Neurospora crassa OR74A: one gene and its partners. The protein of the gene in region 1 purifies or fractionates together with the protein of each later gene. This does not show direct contact. Links are inferred from orthologs where the notes say so. Each region holds a gene or a part of one and is shown in the gene's direction. Other genes may lie near its edges.

Evidence for each region.
Region 2: the proteins of set-2 (region 1) and NCU01515 purify together in Saccharomyces cerevisiae (affinity purification with mass spectrometry; 7 studies listed by BioGRID, with this or other methods). This does not show direct contact. The link is inferred for Neurospora crassa OR74A from reciprocal best matches to the Saccharomyces cerevisiae genes SET2 and RPB3.
Region 3: the proteins of set-2 (region 1) and NCU08553 purify together in Saccharomyces cerevisiae (affinity purification with mass spectrometry; 3 studies listed by BioGRID). This does not show direct contact. The link is inferred for Neurospora crassa OR74A from reciprocal best matches to the Saccharomyces cerevisiae genes SET2 and RPB9.
Region 4: the proteins of set-2 (region 1) and NCU03782 purify together in Saccharomyces cerevisiae (affinity purification with mass spectrometry, with the first as the bait; 3 studies listed by BioGRID). This does not show direct contact. The link is inferred for Neurospora crassa OR74A from reciprocal best matches to the Saccharomyces cerevisiae genes SET2 and RPB11.

Annotation. Positions count from the first base shown.
Region 1 is NC_026503.1:3,238,886-3,242,283, forward strand, and holds the end of set-2 (histone-lysine N-methyltransferase), read left to right. Parts: coding exon 1-439; intron 440-504; coding exon 505-1,356; 3' UTR 1,357-2,099; downstream 2,100-3,398. UniProt on the Saccharomyces cerevisiae protein: Histone methyltransferase that trimethylates histone H3 'Lys-36' forming H3K36me3. Involved in transcription elongation as well as in transcription repression.
Region 2 is NC_026502.1:3,218,093-3,223,128, forward strand, and holds NCU01515 (DNA-directed RNA polymerase II polypeptide), read left to right. Parts: upstream 1-1,719; 5' UTR 1,720-1,959; coding exon 1,960-2,025; intron 2,026-2,098; coding exon 2,099-2,664; intron 2,665-2,744; coding exon 2,745-3,126; 3' UTR 3,127-3,848; downstream 3,849-5,036. Other genes in the region: NCU01516 (mitochondrial co-chaperone GrpE), read right to left, coding at 358-801, 881-1,153; NCU01514 (mitochondrial dicarboxylate carrier), read right to left, coding at 4,283-4,358, 4,523-5,036. UniProt on the Saccharomyces cerevisiae protein: DNA-dependent RNA polymerase catalyzes the transcription of DNA into RNA using the four ribonucleoside triphosphates as substrates. Component of RNA polymerase II which synthesizes mRNA precursors and many functional non-coding RNAs.
Region 3 is NC_026503.1:4,947,971-4,953,133, forward strand, and holds NCU08553 (DNA directed RNA polymerase II 15 kDa subunit), read left to right. Parts: upstream 1-1,805; 5' UTR 1,806-2,371; coding exon 2,372-2,629; intron 2,630-3,413; coding exon 3,414-3,503; intron 3,504-3,568; coding exon 3,569-3,613; 3' UTR 3,614-3,975; downstream 3,976-5,163. Other genes in the region: NCU08552 (mitochondrial 54S ribosomal protein YmL38/YmL34), read right to left, coding at 4,483-4,778, 5,092-5,163. UniProt on the Saccharomyces cerevisiae protein: DNA-dependent RNA polymerase catalyzes the transcription of DNA into RNA using the four ribonucleoside triphosphates as substrates. Component of RNA polymerase II which synthesizes mRNA precursors and many functional non-coding RNAs.
Region 4 is NC_026505.1:2,389,906-2,395,141, reverse strand, and holds NCU03782 (DNA-directed RNA polymerase II subunit RPB11), read left to right. Parts: upstream 1-1,748; 5' UTR 1,749-2,132; coding exon 2,133-2,149; intron 2,150-3,008; coding exon 3,009-3,067; intron 3,068-3,190; coding exon 3,191-3,301; intron 3,302-3,442; coding exon 3,443-3,657; 3' UTR 3,658-4,096; downstream 4,097-5,236. Other genes in the region: NCU03783 (transmembrane domain transporter), read left to right, coding at 1-669, 742-924; NCU03781 (CobW domain-containing protein), read right to left, coding at 4,218-5,236. UniProt on the Saccharomyces cerevisiae protein: DNA-dependent RNA polymerase catalyzes the transcription of DNA into RNA using the four ribonucleoside triphosphates as substrates. Component of RNA polymerase II which synthesizes mRNA precursors and many functional non-coding RNAs.

The DNA of each region.
Region 1 (3,398 bases):
CAATCATGAGGAGCATCCCTCAAGACCTGTCAATCCGTTCGAGAACATGGTTGTGCCCACGGGTCCCCGCAGCAACATTCCCCAACGGAACATGAACTACTTCAACAACCAGAGACCACGCAAGCTTCCAACGAATCTTCCTGCAGGATGGTTTGTCACCACTGACAGCACAGGCAAATACTACTTTTACGACAAGAGCGGCCATACCCAGTGGCAGCGACCTACAACGCCTGCTGTCGACGTGCCCAAGCCCTCTGCCAAGGTGGAACAAAACCAAAAGGCTCTGCAGGATATCATCGACAGTTTGACCAAGGAGCCGACGCCCCGCCATTCTGCGAACCAAACCCCTAAATCTAACACACCCGTGCCAGACAATGGTAAGAAGGAGAAGTGGAGGTCTCTTCCGGTTGAGAAACAGATGAAGATTTACGAAAACACGGTATGTCCAATCCCGGAAGCCAACTGCCCCTCCTATTGCGGTGACGCTAAACAAAGTACTTTCAGCTCTTTCCTCATGTGAAATACGTCATGGACAAGTTTCACCGAAGACTTCCCAAGGAAGACCTCAAGCGGTTTGGCCGTGAGATCAACAAGAAACTGGTTGCTTCCGACTACAAGAACCACCGTGTCGATGACCCTACGACCATTTCCTCCAACCAGGCAAGGAAGATCAAGAAATTTGTCAAGGACTTCTTTGATCGTGCTGTGGTCAAGCACAGGGAAAACGAGCAGCGCGCTGCACAGAAAGCCGGGCCATCATCTTCCGGCGCCCCATCGCCTACCAACGGCGGTTCAGCCAAGTCACCACTTGGCCGTAACGGCGCCAGCAATGCCACCGTCAAGACCCAGCAGCCCGACGCCGATGGCGATATTGTCCTTACAGACGTGGAGGATGAGGGCGAGAATACTCCTGCCACCTCCAGCTCAGACCGCAAGAGGAAGCGTGCGGAAGAGCAAGAGGTTCCGGCGCCGGCATCCGAAGCGATACCTTCACCGAAGCGAGCCAAGGAGGACTCGACAACCGAAGACTCGATCCCCAGCCCTCCGCCCCCTCCGCCGCCGCCGACAGATACTCCACTCACCGAAGAGGAGCGATCAATGCGCGAGCAAGAGGAGGCCTTAATGAGGGAGAACGAAGAAGCGCAGAGGCTGGAGGACGAGGAGGCCGAGCGCCGGGTGAGTGTTACTGTTCAGGGAGCGGCTGTCGCGACCAGCAAGGTGAACGGAGTAAATGGGACCAAGGCCCACCATACCTCAGAGGCATCACCTGCTGTTTCCGATGAGAATGGGATGGACGCTGGTCGTGATGAGAAGAGTCATGAGCAAATGGCACAACAGGAGCCCGTCAGTCGTTAGCTATCTTTTATAAGTTCTTTTTCTTTCCTTTTTTTTTTTTTTATCTTTCTTCTTTCTTTCTTCTTCCGGGTGTGTGGAAAAGAGTCCAATGGTTGTTGAAAGCAAATCATGGACAGAGAGGCACAGTTCAAGGGAAATGCTTGAATGGCTCTTTCCTTATCGGTTCGTTGCATGAAAAGGTTACCGCCTAACCGCCCTGGAATCATTGTTGGCTGGTTGGCATTAGAAAAGTGGTTGGTTTGGTGGGTACTCGTTTATCCGGTTCATGTTGGTGGGTCGGTTGGTCGGTTGGTCATATATCCAAAATCGGTCGGTACACGGTCCAAAGGGTTGATGGTTTCCTGAGTTATCATTCTCAGCACGTCTAATGTCCGAGGAAAGGTGGACGAACAGACAGACAGGCATGGACTCTTGTTATTGCTTTCCTACGATGTTCCACTTTCATCAGCAACAAGTTTATCTTTATATTCAGGTCTAGATCGATGACGGATTGGGTGATGGATGTGCCGGTGCTGGGGACAATTCGACAGTCATCAACATATAGGCGGTAGGCTACTATAATTGGTGGACGAGGGGTACCAGTATTGCTGGCTGACTTTTCAGTCATGGACACACACGCACCTGCCCCCTTGTATTGCCTTGGAGGAATTTTTTTTATTGGTAGAGAACGCAATACCGCATTTTGACAACGGACGTGGTCGTGATGGTGGTGGCGACACTGCTGGTGGTGGTGGCGGTGGTGGTGGTGGATTGACACACACACACACACACAAATGATAGCAGATACATCCATCCTCGCTACATCCCAAACGGCCGGGCAGCTTCTGGCAGCTGATCGCTGGAGGAGCTGGTGTTGAAAAAAAGTATATCTACAGGAACCATGATACAGGTGGACTTCACAGTGAAGATATCTGCCAATAGCAGACGTGTGGCTACAGTGGACCTGGGTGGCAGATGCCTACTTGGTTGCTTGTTTCAAACTCATACAGAGCTCCCTCTTTGTCTCACCAACTCCTTTCCCTCTCCCTTTTTCTTTTCTTTTCTTTTCTTTTTCGTTGCTCTCTTTCTCTTTCTCTTTTTAAGGCGTTAGGTCTCAAAAACAAAATGGGAATCGGAGATATGGAAAAAGCATTAATCGGCAACGGCGTTTATTATTATTTTTTTATTATTATTTTTTTTATTTTTTTTGGGAAGTACCCGGAGTGAGATGAGAAACAAAGGCGTTCGTTCGCGTTTTTGATCTTGCCTATATATGTACACAGTAGTAGTTCCTTGTGGAAATCTATCGCATGGCATTGTTGTTTTCATCACTTGCGGTTTGGGTTTCTCATGGTATTCATTGTTATTGTTTTGCTCTTCATTAGGGGCAAGCAAGCGAGCCAGCAAGCAAGCAAGCAAAGTGGTAAACAGGCAGCCGGACTGGAACTGGACAGACGGGCGAGTGCAAACTGGTGCGAAAAGGCACATGGCAGAAGATAAGTAGGAAAGAGATAAAAGACATAGTGGGAAACTTGGACTCCGTTTGGCGAACTGGGGGGATATAATAAGCTAGAGAGAGAGGGAGACATCGATACGCTTGCCATTTCGTTGTACTCACGGCGATTGGGGATGTGATGTGGGTTGAACGAGGGAATATACCGCTGTTTGATAACATGGAATCTAGAAAATATTCTCTCATGAGTAGAACGTATTTGACAACAATGTTATTGGGTGGATACGGGAATTTTCGGGGGACAGTCTGATCATAGCGGTGAAGTCTTTTCGCTCGCTCGCTCGCTCGTGCTTGTAAGCATGAGCTCTGCGAAGATCTCGGTGGATCTTCGTCTACTTATTCACGTAAACACAAGTTTCAAACGTACTCGGCTCTTATGCATATCCGACGAGGCAACACGACCAAGTAATGGAACGTGAAAATTGCAGACCGTGAATCAAGAGCGTTTTGACTGGCAGGTTGTTCAACTAATCTGTAATTGGCTATATGTTTCCCAGAGAAGGTAGATGGTGATCATCCAAGAGGTTGCTAATATTGGAATATATCCATG
Region 2 (5,036 bases), on another chromosome or scaffold:
GGAGGTCATTATATAATACATGAGATTGTAAAGAGACCTGTGAACGCCGTTTTTTGTTCCTGCGCGCGGGGGAAGCGGGCATATGTTGCATACAATTCGTTTTGTGTTGGATGTTGTACACGGGGCTTATTACAGTCGAGCCCCTTTTTCCTCTTTATATCTTCTTTTTTCGGTTTCCCTGGCTATATCTTGAGCCCCATATATTGAACATTCCTTTCTTCAGGGGCTTGTTCTCATGTCGTGTCATGACATGACATCTCAGGGTATCCTGCCCTGCTAAGCCCTGCCCCGCTAAGCCCATGCCAAGAATCTCTCCGTAGCCCTTTTCCGGTTGTTGGATGAAACAGAAAGAGACATTTATTTGTTCTTGACGACGCCGACCTGGGCAGGGCGAAGGACGCGGCCGTTGAGCTTGAAGCCCTTCTGCTGGACGTGGAAGACGACGTTGTGCTCCTTGTCGGGCATGGGCGCCATGAAGGTGGCCTCGTGCTCGTTGGGGTTGAAGACCTCACCCTCAGGTTCGATGCGCTCAAGACCGTGCTTCTTGAGGGTCGAAAGGAGGATGCTCTCGGTCATCTTGAGACCCTCGTAGAGGTTGACGAGGTCCTTGAGGTGCTCAGACTGCTCCTCCGACTTGAGCTTGTCCTGAGGAACCACGCTCAAGGCGCGCTCGAAGTTGTCGACGCTTTCAACGAGGTCCTTGGCGAACTTTTGAATGGCAAAGTCCTTGGCCTGCTTGACGTCGCGGGCGGTGCGCTCCTGGAGGTTGCGGAAGTCGGCGACGGTGCGAAGGCACTTGTCCTGTAGAGAGGGGCATCCCGTGTAAGTGACTTGTCCATCATGGCTGTATGTGCATATGCTTTGAAGCTCAAGAACCAACCTTCCACTCGCGGGCCTCGGCGTCCTTGGCCTCGAGCTGCTTCTTGAGGGCAGCAACTTCATCGGTCTCACCCTCCTTCTGCTCGGCGCCCTCGTCGGCCTTCTTCTCACCCTCAGCCTCGGCGCTGTACCACCGGGCGGCGGAGCGCAGCTGGGGAGCAGCTGTCCGGGCAGCTTGCATCTGGAAGATCTGGGAAGCAATAGGGCGCTGGGCGGCAACGCGGGCGCCGGAGCAGAGGGCTCTGGAAGAGCGGGTGAGGGCTGTTCGTAGCATGTTGGCTGGGTATCTGGATGTGACGGGTGGTGAGATGTGGCGATGTCAGAGACAGGGAAGCGTCGCGTGTTGAGAGAGGCACTTTCTCAGAAATTTTGAGACAGCTGCGCTAGCACGGGACGGAGACGGCATGGACGGGCGGCGGGTTGGGCGGCCAACAGGGGCCTTCGCAGTGTCTCCCACAGTGGGATGGTGGGAGGGTGGGTGCTGCTGCTGCATCAATCCTGTCGGCCGGCTGGGCGGGAGCGAACCGAAAAGCGGGTCATGAACGGACCGCCCAAAATCGACGAATTGCCTGCCGGACCATCGAGTTTTGCTCAAATCGACAATTGGAGCTTCGACACCTCAGCGCCCCGGGTGTGCCTGGCGGGGCTCTTTTGTGCGGGGGAGTCGAGATGGACCTGGCTGCTCCTACCTACTCTGTTAAAGACACGCCGTGGAGTTAGCCAACGCCAGGTCATGTGAAGATAAGGCCAGCTTAATCCTGGTCACTTTGTCTGCCCGCTGCGGCCTCAGCCAGAGGCAAGATTGGCGACTGGCCGCACTCAGTCCTACCATAGGTGGTGGCGCCTCCGAACCTCGACCCGTCAACGCGCCGGAAACCGAAATCAGTCCGCAACTTGCATTTCGCATCAACCGGCCCTCAACAAAGGCCACCTCAACCGCAACTCACCCTGCCTCGAACCACAACTTCCTGAACCGTTTCTCCCCCCGCATCCAAATTTTATCATACACCACAAAACGTACCATCGAGAACTGCCGACTGTAGCGAGAACAACTGACCGACCGCCGGTCAACACGCAAAGATGGATTACGATCCGATGGTGATGGACGACGCCGAGTCCCTGGGACCGGTCGTCAAGATCTCACAAGTATGTTCTGTGTGCTCTTGCTCACAGCAATTGCGCTCAGCTGCTCGTTCATCGTTCTAAACCATCATTCTAGGCGGACAACACCCGAGTCAAGTTTGAGCTCTCCAACACCGAGCTCAGCTTCGCCAACTCCCTTCGTCGCGTCATGCTTGCCGAGATTCCCACGATTGCCATCGATCTAGTCGAGATCGAGGCCAACAGCTCCGTTTTGGCCGACGAATTCATTGCCCACCGCCTGGGCCTGATTCCACTCAACGCCGAAGGTATCGAGCAGCTTCTGTATTCTAGGGACTGCGACTGCGACGAATACTGCGAGCATTGCAGTGTGACCCTCAACCTTCACGCCAAGTGCACTGGCGACGACATCATGCAAGTCTGTGCCCGCGATCTTGTTCCAGTCGGCGATCGCGTCAACCAAGTTCTCGGCTCGCCTATCATCAATGATCCTGAAGGCCAAGGTCCCCTCATCCTCAAGCTTCGTCACGGTCAGGAGATCAAGCTCCAATGCATCGCGAAGAAGGGTATTGCAAAGGAGCATTCCAAATGGGCCCCAAGTGCCGCCATCGGCTTCGAGTACGATCCTCACAACAAGCTGCACCACCTCGACTTGTGGTATGAGCAGGATCCTAAGAAGGAGTGGTAAGTACATTCCATCATCTTCACTTTTTCCAATTCCCTTTGATGTGACCGATGTCTCACCATTTTGTTTTTCTCTCCAGGCCTCCTTCGGAGTACGCCGACTGGGAGGAGCCTCCCCAGGAGGGCGAACCGTTCGATTACGATGCCGTACCACAACGCTTCTACTACAACGTCGAAACCGCCGGTCCTATTCCCCCTGATGCTATTGTCACTGAAGGCATCAAGGTCATCCAGCAGAAGTTGGCTGGTCTGATCCACGAACTTACCGAAAGCGATGGTGGTGAGAACGGATACAACGGACCGCGCAGCCCAGGCTACAACGAAGGTGGCGACAACTGGAACGACCAAGGATCGTTTACGCCATATGGAAACGGAGGAAACCAGAGCTCTTGGGGAGGTCAGGGAGGTACCACGCCCTACGGAGCGACTCCCTACGGAGGCGGCCAAAACCCTTGGTCTTGAGCATCATATGCTTACAGTTTACGATTTGCGACGTCAATTACTCCTCCTGATGGCTTGCGAGGTCATTGCGCCTGTCTTTTCCGGGAGGTTTTGGGTATCTGCGGTATCTTTGCGGCGCGAGTTCGAGCTGCGCACTTCGATTAACAACACAACACTTTTACCATTCAAACAAGATTGAGATTCGCATTCCTATACACACACTCGCGCCATCACCACCAGCTCAGCATCTACTTAGTAATCGTGGCGCCTCCGTCTCTTACTGCGGGGACCGTAACTCAACCACACTTTGTGGCTGAGGCCCACGGAACGGATCAGGGCCAAATATCGGACTTTTGGCGCTAGGCACGAGCCGCCACGTCAAGGTCAATTTTGGGGGAAACTGGGAAAAGGAACTTTGGGAGCTGGATCTTGACATTAGGGGAGAGGAGAGAGGCGCATTCTGAAGGGATTCAAGTCAGGGCGAGAGGAACCAGAGCATATCTTATTTGAGCGTCCCTCGTCCAGACACCACATATACTAGGCAGCGGAACGAGGACAGCTCTCTCTGTTATTGGCACCCTGCAAATGATCTATCGCACAATTGCGAGGTATAGACAAAAGGTGAATATAGTTACCATGGTCTGGCGACTACATAGGGGACCAAAATACCCAAAAAAAACATTCATAAACGGTTCGAAAGTGCGAGGTTCATAAAAAATCAAGATGCCATTCTCGCCGGTTGCTGGAGTCTAGTAAGCACTTGCTGCTCTGGTCTATTTGCTTTACACAACTCTGCAGGAAACACCAAACTCCCAGGGTAAGACTACATAAAGCCAAAACACCATCGAAATGACAGCCCTACCGCCGCTTCAATGCCTGACGGATGAGGGAACATCTAACAAAGGAAACCTATGAACAAGAAAACATGAGGTATCGCCATCTAGGTCCTGACAGAAAGACCACCACTCGGCCTCTAAAATGCAGATTTCCTCTATACAAATCCGGCCATTATGTCCCCACCCACAAACTTTTTGATTGAAATGCATTTGAAAACCCGCTGTTGCTGCTGCTAGTCCGTCTAAGAAGCAGACTCCCAAGACTGGACATGGGAGGAAAGGTGAAGAAAGAAAGAGAGATTAGAAAAGGTAGGTAGCCAGGAAGAGGAGCAAATGACAACTCATTCCTCAATGCCCTTGACCTTCTTGTACATCTTCCGATGGCCCTCCAAGAAGATGAAGGTGCAAATCGTTTGTCTGTCCGCGTCAATACCTCGTTAGCACAATCATATCCATGAAACTTTCGCGGAAGACCACATCCATAAAGGCAAAGGAAAAAAAGAGAAAAAAAAAAAAAAAAAAAAAAAAAAAAAAAAAAAAAAAAAAAAAAAAAAAAAAAAAAAAGGAGGGAATCAACTTACGGCCCCAACCTCAAAAAACTCGGCACCCATCCCTTAAACATCCACCTCACCCCTTCCTGGGCATACAAGCTCCCCAACACCTGCCCGATACTACTTTTCCCGCTCGCGCTCATGACCCGCGTCTTGACCACATCAATCGGGCTCGTCACCGTCGCCGCCGCCACGCCCGCCAGGAAACTGGCGCTAAAGTGCGTCGCCAGGTTATCCTCCAAGGGCGTATGTCTAATCAAGATGCGCTTGAACACATCGTAACTAGCCAGCTGGCTGGCCGTCATGGCGGCCGCCCTCGCACTATTGGGCCAAACACCCCTAAACCAGCTCCGGAACCCTTCCTCGCGCGTCATCCGCGCTAGGCCGTCGATGGCGTGCGCGTAGTTGCGTCGTTGCGCGGGGGGCAGAGCGGCGTCGTGCTGCATCCGCACGTTCAGCACGTCTGCTACGTTCCCCACCAAACCGCCGGCTACGCCGGAGACGGTGGCCATGGCGATCAGCACGGGGAAGGAGGCCGGGTGGT
Region 3 (5,163 bases), about 1.7 Mb from region 1:
GCTTAGTCCTCGAGTACTGTAGGCGGATAGCCTTGTGGCGGTCGCGATGTCAACGGGGAGAAGGAGGTTCAGGCGCAATTGCGACTCGCGTGATCAACCAGCGAGGGGCATGGTGACGTACCTTGAGTTGCGCCGGTAGAGCTTCGACAATGAGAATTAGAAAGCGACTACAAAAAGGAGAGATGGAAAACAGAAGGAGAAATTGACAAAGGGAGAATTGAACTTTTTAGATCACCTGGCAACGGCGGGGGGGGAAGGAGGAACAGGCAGAGAAACATCCAGCACCACTCCGGCCAAGACTCTCCCGGTTCTAGGCAATGGAGCTCTCCGTCGTCAGGGACGTCAGCTTGTCGGCGGCTCCACACCTCACAAGGCACAAAAAGCGGGGACTTTCTCTGGGGGAGCGGGGTCGGGCAAGGGGACAGGTACATAGGTACCATAGTACCGCCCGTTGTGTTTTCCGCGATTGGGGATTCGTTCGCGGGGACGGAGCTGTCAGGGGCACCATCTTGTTAGTGGGATGGTGTGGCAAGCCCAGCAGGTTCTTGTCCTTGTCGACATGTCCTCGTGTGGGTGCCACTGCCATCCTCCGAGTTGTTGCTTGGTCAGCTTGAGGCTGCTTGCTTACCTCTAGTATTCTTTATCACCTTGATGGCCTCATTTAGTTCTCTATTTGAGATGAATTAGGTTGAGTTATGGAAGCCACTTGAACTGATACCAGTTGTACTAACAATTCATGCTGGTTTTTTATACTTTGTTTTCATCAAAAAGGTCACACCTCACCAAACATGAAAGACTTGAAGTACCGGCCCGTTGGTTCTCGACAACAGGAACCAAAGCTGCGAACCTGCAGCCCGGTCGTGTGCTGTGTAGCATCGGATGAGCACCATGATCCTCGTCGCCCTCTCATGAGCCATCCACACTTTCTCGATCCGTCGTCAGTTGCTGCTGCATCGGGACACCCCACGCAACAGTTCCTTGGGGCCTCGTGATTCTCCGTGCATAGAGTGGGTGCCACACACGGACTTGCTGTGCCCTTGAATATTGGGGTCACGGGTGGGCGGGAGGAGAGAGAGGATTTGGCACATCGAGATGAATTTTTCAACAAAAGACTATCCATATTACATACGATGATAAATATTTACAAAGGCGTCCATCCCCTCTGAAGCCTCATGACATTTAACAGACAGGTGCTCGTGGTCAACTCCATGACGTCGTTGTGGATTCCAGTAGTGTGTACTCTCTTGTCATTTTGTGTGAGACCTGAAGCCCCTGATGCGCTGTAATGGTGTATCGGTCCCTGTTGACTGCGTCTTGTCCTCGCCCGTTTACTCGAGACAGGACACCAAGAACAAGACACTTTGGGGAGGGAAGCATGCATGGCGCTCCAGTGAATTGAACTTGACAAGTTTGGATCGAGGCGGTTTGATACACTCGGGTCTCCGTCGGCAATAAAAACACAACGAATCATGGCTCATGCGAAACCGGGCATCCAAATCGAGGCTTTGCCAAATAATGGTCTGCAACAAGCAACACTTTTCGGTCTGACTGGCCTGTTACTTGCAGCCTGGAGTCCCGCCTGTCCAGTGTTCTGCCCCTGACCGTGACTTCACCCAAAGCGGCAAGGCGGTGAAGGGGTTTGGCAGTGGCAGCCATCCTTGTCACCCTCCTTGGGCCCCGATTTTCCAAGGTCCCAGGGCTGTTTTGCTCCGGCCGGCAGGGCAATTACAGTTGGCACCTGGACACTTGGATGGATCCCTCCCCGACCGAACGTGACTGCTCACTGCAGCACAGCACTCATTGCAGTCGGTGGGAGGGAGTTGTCGTGCCTCACCCACGCCTTTCTTGGTCATTTCCTCGGCTGGCCTTCCACTTCACCTGCAGTGCCTTTTTTATTTTCCATTTTCCATTTTCCATTTTCCACCTCCGGCTCTTTCCACCATCTTTTAAAATCATCTTGGGACTCTCATTTTCCCACGGACGAACTTCTTCCTCTTTAGCAACACCTAACTCTGAACTGCTGACAAGTATCAGATCCAATTGCTGTTACTAGCTTACTACTACTTAGTATTCAACTTCCACTTGACTACACTACACTAGCAGTTTTTTGCATCCTTCCGCCACCCGACAAGGAAAGCCAACCAAGCCCATCCTTGGGATCGTCAAGCATTCAATTAGCGATCCGTCCATCCATCCATCCATCCATCCATTTCTACCATTCACCCAACAACACCAACCACCATCAACACACACCCACACAAAGGAACGGGCACAACAACCTTTCTGCTTCCTTTCGCCTTCTCTTTCAACTATTATTACACCCACACACACAAATACACACACAAAACACACACAACACATATCAACCAAAATGTCGTCGCCCGCCCCTTCTAGCACCGGTGGCGCCAAGGAGAAGAAGCCCCTTGAGCAGATCACGTTCCGCTTCTGCTCCGAATGCAGCAACATGCTGTACCCCCGCGAGGCCGAGGACGAGAACAAGCTGCTCTTCACCTGCCGCACCTGCAACTTTTCCGAGCCCGCCACGTCGACGTGCATCTACCGCAACATCCTCAACAACGCTGCCGGCGAGACGGCTGGTGTCACGCAGGATGTCGCCTCTGATCCCACGGTGGGTGTTGTCTCTTCTGTTTCTTCTGCTGCTGTTGGTGATGGTGTCGCCTCGCCTGCGTCGACCTTGCCCCGACCCGCCGACGGTTCGACCTACATCTACTGCCAGTGCTGTGGCGTCATCGAGCTGTGTTCGAACCACTTTGCCGCCCCTCCCTCCGACTCCGAAGCCGGCAGCGATTGCGAGTCCCTGTACGACCAGATGGCCGCCACCACGATCGACATGAGCGATAACAGTCATGTCTGGGCTTCCAACAGCAGCGAGAGGGAGGCCATGGGCAGGGTCCGTGCCGAAGAGTACTTTTACAACTTGGTCGCCTTTGAGGACTACGAAGAAGAGGAGGACTCCATCGAGTCTGAAAACATGGAGCTCGACGACACCGACACGGAGTTGGCGGCATCAAGCCAACTGCCTGTTCAAGTCCCGGCAGCTTAGGACATGACCGGCAGACGACGCATCTCCCGCTCTCACGAGGTTACGACTTTTTGATTTTACGGTCACAGCGATTACGGTTACGGCATACCCATTACATCAGGATTATAATACATCTATAATCATGGCGGCGCGGTTGTTCGCCCACCTTCGGGATTACAGCACCCGACACACGACACGACTGGCACACAGCACGGCATAGCATAGCACAGCGCATACCCAAAAGTCTCCGTCCGTCTGGTGGCGGGGTCTGGTCCGCGAGGCGATGACCTGGATTTGGCTTGTTCTTGTCATTTGCTCTGGCTTGCATCGAGACTAATCTCTTCTTTTTCTTCTTTCGTTTGCTATCTAGCTCCCAAGAGCCATCAAGGAATGCCCTGCCTGCCACCACCCGGAAGCTGTCTTCTTCCAGTCACAGCAGCGTACTTCGGAAACCGGAATGGTAAGACTCACTCACCTGCCTGGGAGGGGCTCACCAGAGTCATGGGTTAACAACGTTACTTTCAGAAACTTTTCTACGTCTGCTGCGATTGTGGTAATATTTACCAGTAGTGGGGGATTCACTCTTCACTCGGAAGGAATAGGGCCAGATCGATCCTTGTTATAGGCGGACAGGCGGGCGGTCGGAAAAAATCACAGGTTGATTAATAAAGATCAGGGGGTCATGATGAGTTGCATTACAGTGGCGTTTGTACACGGTTAACTCAAAAGGACCGCGGTTTAGGGCGTTTGGTTTTCTTTTTCATGCTTTGGCAGGACACTGGTTTAGAAATGGTCTTTCCATGAATCTCGTGGATAACGTTATAAACTGTTTCGTGTGATATGCAATGGTGATGTTGTTTTGCTTGACATGACATGTAATGTACAGTAGTATACACAGATTAGGACGGCACGCTTGATGTCCCGAACTGAAGTGACTGGTAAACCTAATCGACTGATGTGACGGCTGCTGCTGGCTGATCGTTACCCAAAATGGCGCTTGAAGAAAGGCCGTTCGATGAGACCATATTTTGGTGTGATGTCCGGTGTGTGAAGCCGTCGTACCTTGAGAACAACGTCGCAGTCTCAAACCCGTATACGCCAGGCCATCCCAAGTCCATCCTGGAAATCCGTAGACACACAAACCACAGTTCCGTCAGATATCAACAAAGTGATGTTCCGTAGCGCTCATCGTCAGTCATTACCTCAACACAGCCAACCCAAGCTGAGCCGACACCCAAACCCCCCACGAGAGTCACCAAGTCACCGCAATGACACATCCCACCGAGCATACTCCTCTTCACTTCAAGGAGCGTCACGCCACATCCCACCCCAACAAACTCAACTCTTTTTCTTTACGGGTATTCATATTTCATTCCATCTTGATTCTCCCGCTACATCCATCGTACATATATCCTCCCTGATCGATCAATCAAGCCTAGCTAAGCCTGCATAGGCGCCATACTCAATATCTTGCTCCACTTTTTCTTTCGCAGTTCCTGGCCCACCACACCATTGATGCGCGATCCGATCGGGTCGCCGGCCTTGTTGATCAAGACACAGGCGTTGTCGTCGAACCGGACGACCGAACCGTCGCGGCGCTGGACTTTTTGCTTGGTGCGCACTACCACGGCGTGGCGGATGTCGCCGCGCTTCACCTTGGTGGCGGCCGAAGAGGCGGCCATGCCGGCCGAGTCGGCGCCGCGCTGTTTTTGGACGACTACTACTATGCGGTCGCCTTTCTTCTGTTAGTTGAGGTATGAGGAGGGGAAAGAAGGGGGGAAAGAAGGGGGAGGGGGACAAGAGGGGGGAAAGAAGGGGGAGGGAGGAACAAGAGGGGCAAGAGGCAAGTATGATATGTGTATAAGACCAGATGTTCCTTGGTCGGACGAGAAGAATCGGACGGGATGGGACGGGTATGAACGGCGACGACGGTGTTGGTGTTGGGGTACGAAAGAGGGATCGGGTAGTTCGTGTAGATATGATATGCTCGAGTCGACGATGGGTTCGTGGGTGTATAACGGAAATCGAAAGGGAATTCGAAAGCATACCAATCGAAGCATGCCTCTTTTGGCCGACAACCATGGCGCATTCCACCAGGGCAGCACCCGAGTTGTCGATGC
Region 4 (5,236 bases), on another chromosome or scaffold:
ATCATGCAAATGATCATCTTCCTGCCGTTCTCGCTGCTGCGTGATATTGGCAAATTGGGATTCACTGCGCTTATTGCTGACGCCTTCATCGTCATCGGTCTGGCCTACCTCTTCTACTACGACGTCCTGACTCTCAACACCTCGGGCCTGGCCGACATCATCATGTTCAACCAGAAGGACTGGACCCTTTTCATCGGCACCGCCATTTTTACCTTTGAGGGCATCGGCCTCATCATCCCGATCCAGGAGTCCATGAGAAACCCGGAGAAGTTCCCCAAGGTGATGGCCGTCGTCATGATCATCATCACCACTTTGTTCACCGTTATGGGCGCCGTCTCCTATGCCGCCTACGGCTCCAAGACCGAGACAGTCGTGCTCCTCAACTTGCCCCAGGACAACAAAATGGTCAACGGCGTGCAGTTCCTCTACTCGCTCGCCATCCTGCTTTCGACCCCACTGCAGATCTTCCCCGCCATCAGGATCACGGAGAATGCACTCTTCACGAAGAGCGGAAAGTACAATCCGTATATCAAGTGGCAGAAGAACGTGTTCCGCTTCTTTGTCGTCGCTTTCTGCGCCATGGTTGCATGGGCGGGTGCCGATAACTTGGACAAGTTCGTCGCACTGGTCGGTAACTTTGCTTGCATCCCGTTGGTGTATATCTATCCGGTGAGTTTTGCTACGTACCCTTGCTCCTTCTTGTGTAGATGATCAATCAGACGCTAACACAGTCACAAACAGCCGATGCTGCACTACAGGGGCGTCGCCAGAAGCGCTCTCTGGAAATTCTCGGATGTTGCCCTGTGCGTCTTTGGCTTCATTGCCATGGCGTACACGACTACCTTGACTGTCATGAGCTGGGCCGGCGCTGGAGAGGGCGGAGAATCGCCTGGCTATTGCGATGCTAAGGGATTGAACCCGTAAAGGCGTGCAAACGTGTACGTATTGATCACGGAATGAGTCATGAGTATCCTCTTGATTATATGGGACGAGCGTTGGGGTTTATCAAGAACAATGGATCCGACGATATGATTATGGTTGTATAGAATGAAAGGAAATCATGGGATAGGGGTCGACATGATGAGAGCAAGACATATGGGTTATGACTAGATGATTGTGGGATGGACTACACTGTAGACTTGATGGGAGTGAGCAATCTGTTGCCGAGAAGCATGTCTAGAGTTTGTATTGCATCGTGAGGGAAGCGTTTCCCTGTTTGTTTGAAGAAGCTCGTTACCATAACGATGGAGCGAGAATAGTTTGACTTTTGAATAAATTGATTAGTCTGGCATTTTCCCCATTGTACGTCTATGGTGTCGATGTCATTTTACTGTTGTTTTGACGTGTCATTACTGGGTTTATTCTCCCTAGCAGTCTCTACAATCTCTGACTCTTTGAGGGGCGGCCTTTCTCTCCCATTGCAAACAGTGTTCGAGCGAACAGTGTGGTAGCTACGATGACCTTCCATATATCGGTTTACTCTTTGCATACTACCATCCTCATTTCATGGTTGGAAAGAGTTCCTTCCCCACAGTGTGTCGCCGTCGTCTGCTTCGCCAACAAGCAAGCTCACTGCTTTCTTTCTTTGTTGAACCCTAACCCTCCCTTGCAAGCATGTATGTATACAGCCCAGCGGACCGAGTCATCCAAAAGCGGGATGGCGCTGAAATAACTGAGCGCACAGACCACACGTACCTTGATCCGGAGTTCAGTGCTCCAACTGCGTTGCCCCCATCTCACAGTGGATGCGCAACCTGGACGACCTCGAAGACATCGATCAAGTGCGTTCACTTGTGTTAAAACATCCCACCCCCTTCACCAAGATCAAAACCTTCACCAGCTGACGAGCAGTATCAAAACCTGAGCGACTGAAACCTTTGGTAGTCTGTCCCATTCACGCTCCAATTTTGGGTATCGAAATTCCTACGTTCCCCCGGTCCCGCCATAAGAGCGAATCTACACAATTGCTACATCAACCACTCGACGTTCTTGAGCAGTTGACATCGTCACCCCCCGGTCTCAACCTCAACACCATATCGCAAATTCACGATATCGGGCGACGACGACAATCGTTTATACACCACCGATAACCAACAACGAGCTCTACGTCATATCGTTAGCCAATCGCCAAAATGAACGCCCCTGATAGGTTAGTAGAATCTTCTCTTCTTGCTGGTTTCTTTCCACATGGAGAAACCAACCCCCCTCTTCCTTCTGCCCTGGACGACGCGCCTCACGCAAATGCCGGAAACACTCGACCTGGGTTGCCTTAAATCTCTTGAGGGCGTTCGACAAGGAATCATAACGACTATGTCAAAAGTCATTATGTCACATGCCGGTGTCGACTGGAACCGCAATGTCAACTCATCTCAGTACGACAATGGAACAAATCGACCTGGACGGACAGGCAGACACTCGAATAGTCCGCCCCAGTTCTTAGCCTTACGTGTCTATCCTTCATGGTCTACGAGCTTGGTTCAATCTTCCCCTCCGGTAGGCGGTGTTTGTCTGGTTGCTGGTGCCAGGTGCCTATTGTTTTGAACGCGAAACAAACGGGACGGCTTTCATCTGATCATGGACCATGGACGCAAATGGAAGGCAACAGGCAGGCGAGGCAGCTGGGAGACTAGCGATCTGGGAGTTGGTGGGTAACTTGTCTACCACGGATTCACCTTGACCAAACTCAATCTGGATGGAGAGTCGCTGGCTGTCAACGATATAAAAGGCGGACGACTTCCTCCTCATACACCACTTAAACCCTTCGTCAAACCAACATCCCTTTGGACTAGCACACAGTCCATCACGACAAGAAGGATATTGATTCCATGCCCTCCTCGTCACCTGGCAACAGCGAACAGGACCAAGATCAACAAGATGAGCGGAGCCAATCCCAAGCAAAACAGCGAGCCGAACCGGTCCGCCTTCTTCTTTCCGTTTATACTCTCATCATTACCTCACTTTTGGGTAGTAGGAAAACATTACTGACATTTGCTTCCAAAAACAACCAGGTTCGAGCTCTTCCTTCTCCAGGATGGAGAGAAGAAGATTGAGGAGAAGGTTTTCACTGGTGAGTCGAGTCGATCTCCTCATCTTCTTGATAATGAGGTGATACGTGGGGAGAAGAAGAAATAGTAGAAGAAGGAAATGGCAAGAAAACTGACCCCGATTTTTTTTTCCATTACTTGGATAGGCATGTCGAACACCTCCGACTTCAAGATTCTCAAGGAGGACCACACCCTCGGCAACCTCCTCGCCGAACATCTGAAGCAGGCCCCTCATGTCTTGATGGCAGGATACAAGAGTACGTCACGTCGTACCGCCGCGTCTTACTTCACTTTTACTTTTCTTCTCTTTACCCCCCCTCCCCACACAAACCCTCACCACCACCACCACCACCACCCATGGCGAGATAAACAGAAACTGACTGACACGTAATTATTAGTTGCCCACCCTAACGTGCCGGAACTCTTCATCCGTATCCAGACAGACGGAAGCATCACCCCGCGCGAGGCTCTCGTTGGCGCGTGCAAGCAGCTCGTGGCCATGTACGGCCAATTGGGCCGCGAGTTCCAGAAGGAGCTTGCCCTGCGCCAGTATGCTGACCAGGGCGAGCAGGGAGGCGGCGTGAACGGCGGCGCTAATGGCGGTCATTACTGATCGAATCGATGCCCGCCTTAACGGGGTTGTTCGCGGTGTTTACTCTACTCCCGACACGCCTTTACTTTACTTTACTTGACTGCCGGAGGAAAGTTTACGAAGGTCGTCCGATGCTGAATTGGGGGGGTGGGAAAAGAGATGCGATGGTGGCATGGACGGTGAAAACATGATTAGCTCATTATCTTTGCTGTTTTGTTGATCGGATCGGTCGTCATTCAAAAACGGCGTTTAGGGATTTTCTTTGAGGATGCTTTTCAGTCAGTCTCTTTGCAGGCGTTAATGATCAAGACATGCATGGGATATGGAAAATAAGGGGTTTTGACAGATCTCTCCGTTTACTCGCTCAATGCTAGGGCAGAATGGGAACCATAGATTTGTTCAAGGTGTCTTGTGGTGAGAGTATGCGAGGAGTGGATGTTGAATTTTTAAGAAGTTTGTCAATATGTCTTTGGGACGTCTGCTTCTATTTGCTCCCATCAGGTGCGCTCTATTCTATCCCGAAGTCTTATTGTTCGTTCATACATAATCCATAGCTCCTCGTCTATCAAACGTGCCGCTCTCTAGTTGACCTTGGTAACGCTCAACTCGCCCTTCCCATTCTCCTCTTCAAGCTCCAACAACCCACCAGCCTCCAGTCTCTTCTTCCACTTGGTGCTCTCATACCTGGCCAGAATCATGGTCATCCTCAGTATCGCCTCACTGCTGGATTCGTGCTCCTTGACTTCAGCCGCAACAGGTGTAAACGTCCACCTTCCAAACGCCCAGTTGAGGATATACCTCGTCGTTTGAGCTTCGCTTCCCGCGGACGTAGGTGGTACTGGAACCTTGGTATCCTCATCCGAATTCTTCAGCACCTCCCGCGCAGTTTTCGCAGAAACCGCCAACACGGCTTTGATCCTGTACACCTCGTCCTTGTTCGTTTTCCTCAAGAAAGCCAACAGCTTCGTCGCATCCACCGTCGCTTCTCTGTTGCCGCTCTTAAGCTCAATACTCAACACCTCCACCTCCGTCTGATGATCATGCTTATGCTTATCGTCATGTCCACACTTGTCATCGTGAACATGCCCATCCTCTTCCGTAAGACCCCTCGCCAACCCCCCATCAATCCCAAACACCACCGACATATCCACCCACCCCTTATCACTCTTCACCCACGCTGTGTCCACCTCCAAATCTCCCACCCTATCCAAAACCTCGTCAAACCTCCTCTCCCCCGCCCCTTCCCACTTGTTAAACACAATCAGATCCGTATACCGCGCCTGAATCCGCGCCGTATAGCTAGTATCCTCATACCCCTTCCAATTCTCCACATCAATCACGCTCACCACGCCATCCAGCACATACTGGCCCCCCGTCTCCCTCGCCAGCCGGTTGACCTCGAGCGCCAGCGTAGCAGGGAACGCAGAGCCCGAGGTCTCAATGACGATTCGGTCCGGCCGAACGGTGGACTGGAGCTCGGAAAGGGCGACCGAGAGTTGACCGACGAGGTTGCAGCAGATGCAACCGTTCAAAAGCTCGGAGACGCCGGCGATGGCCGAGGAGGAGGCGAGCTGGGAGTCGACGGCCAGATCGCCGAATT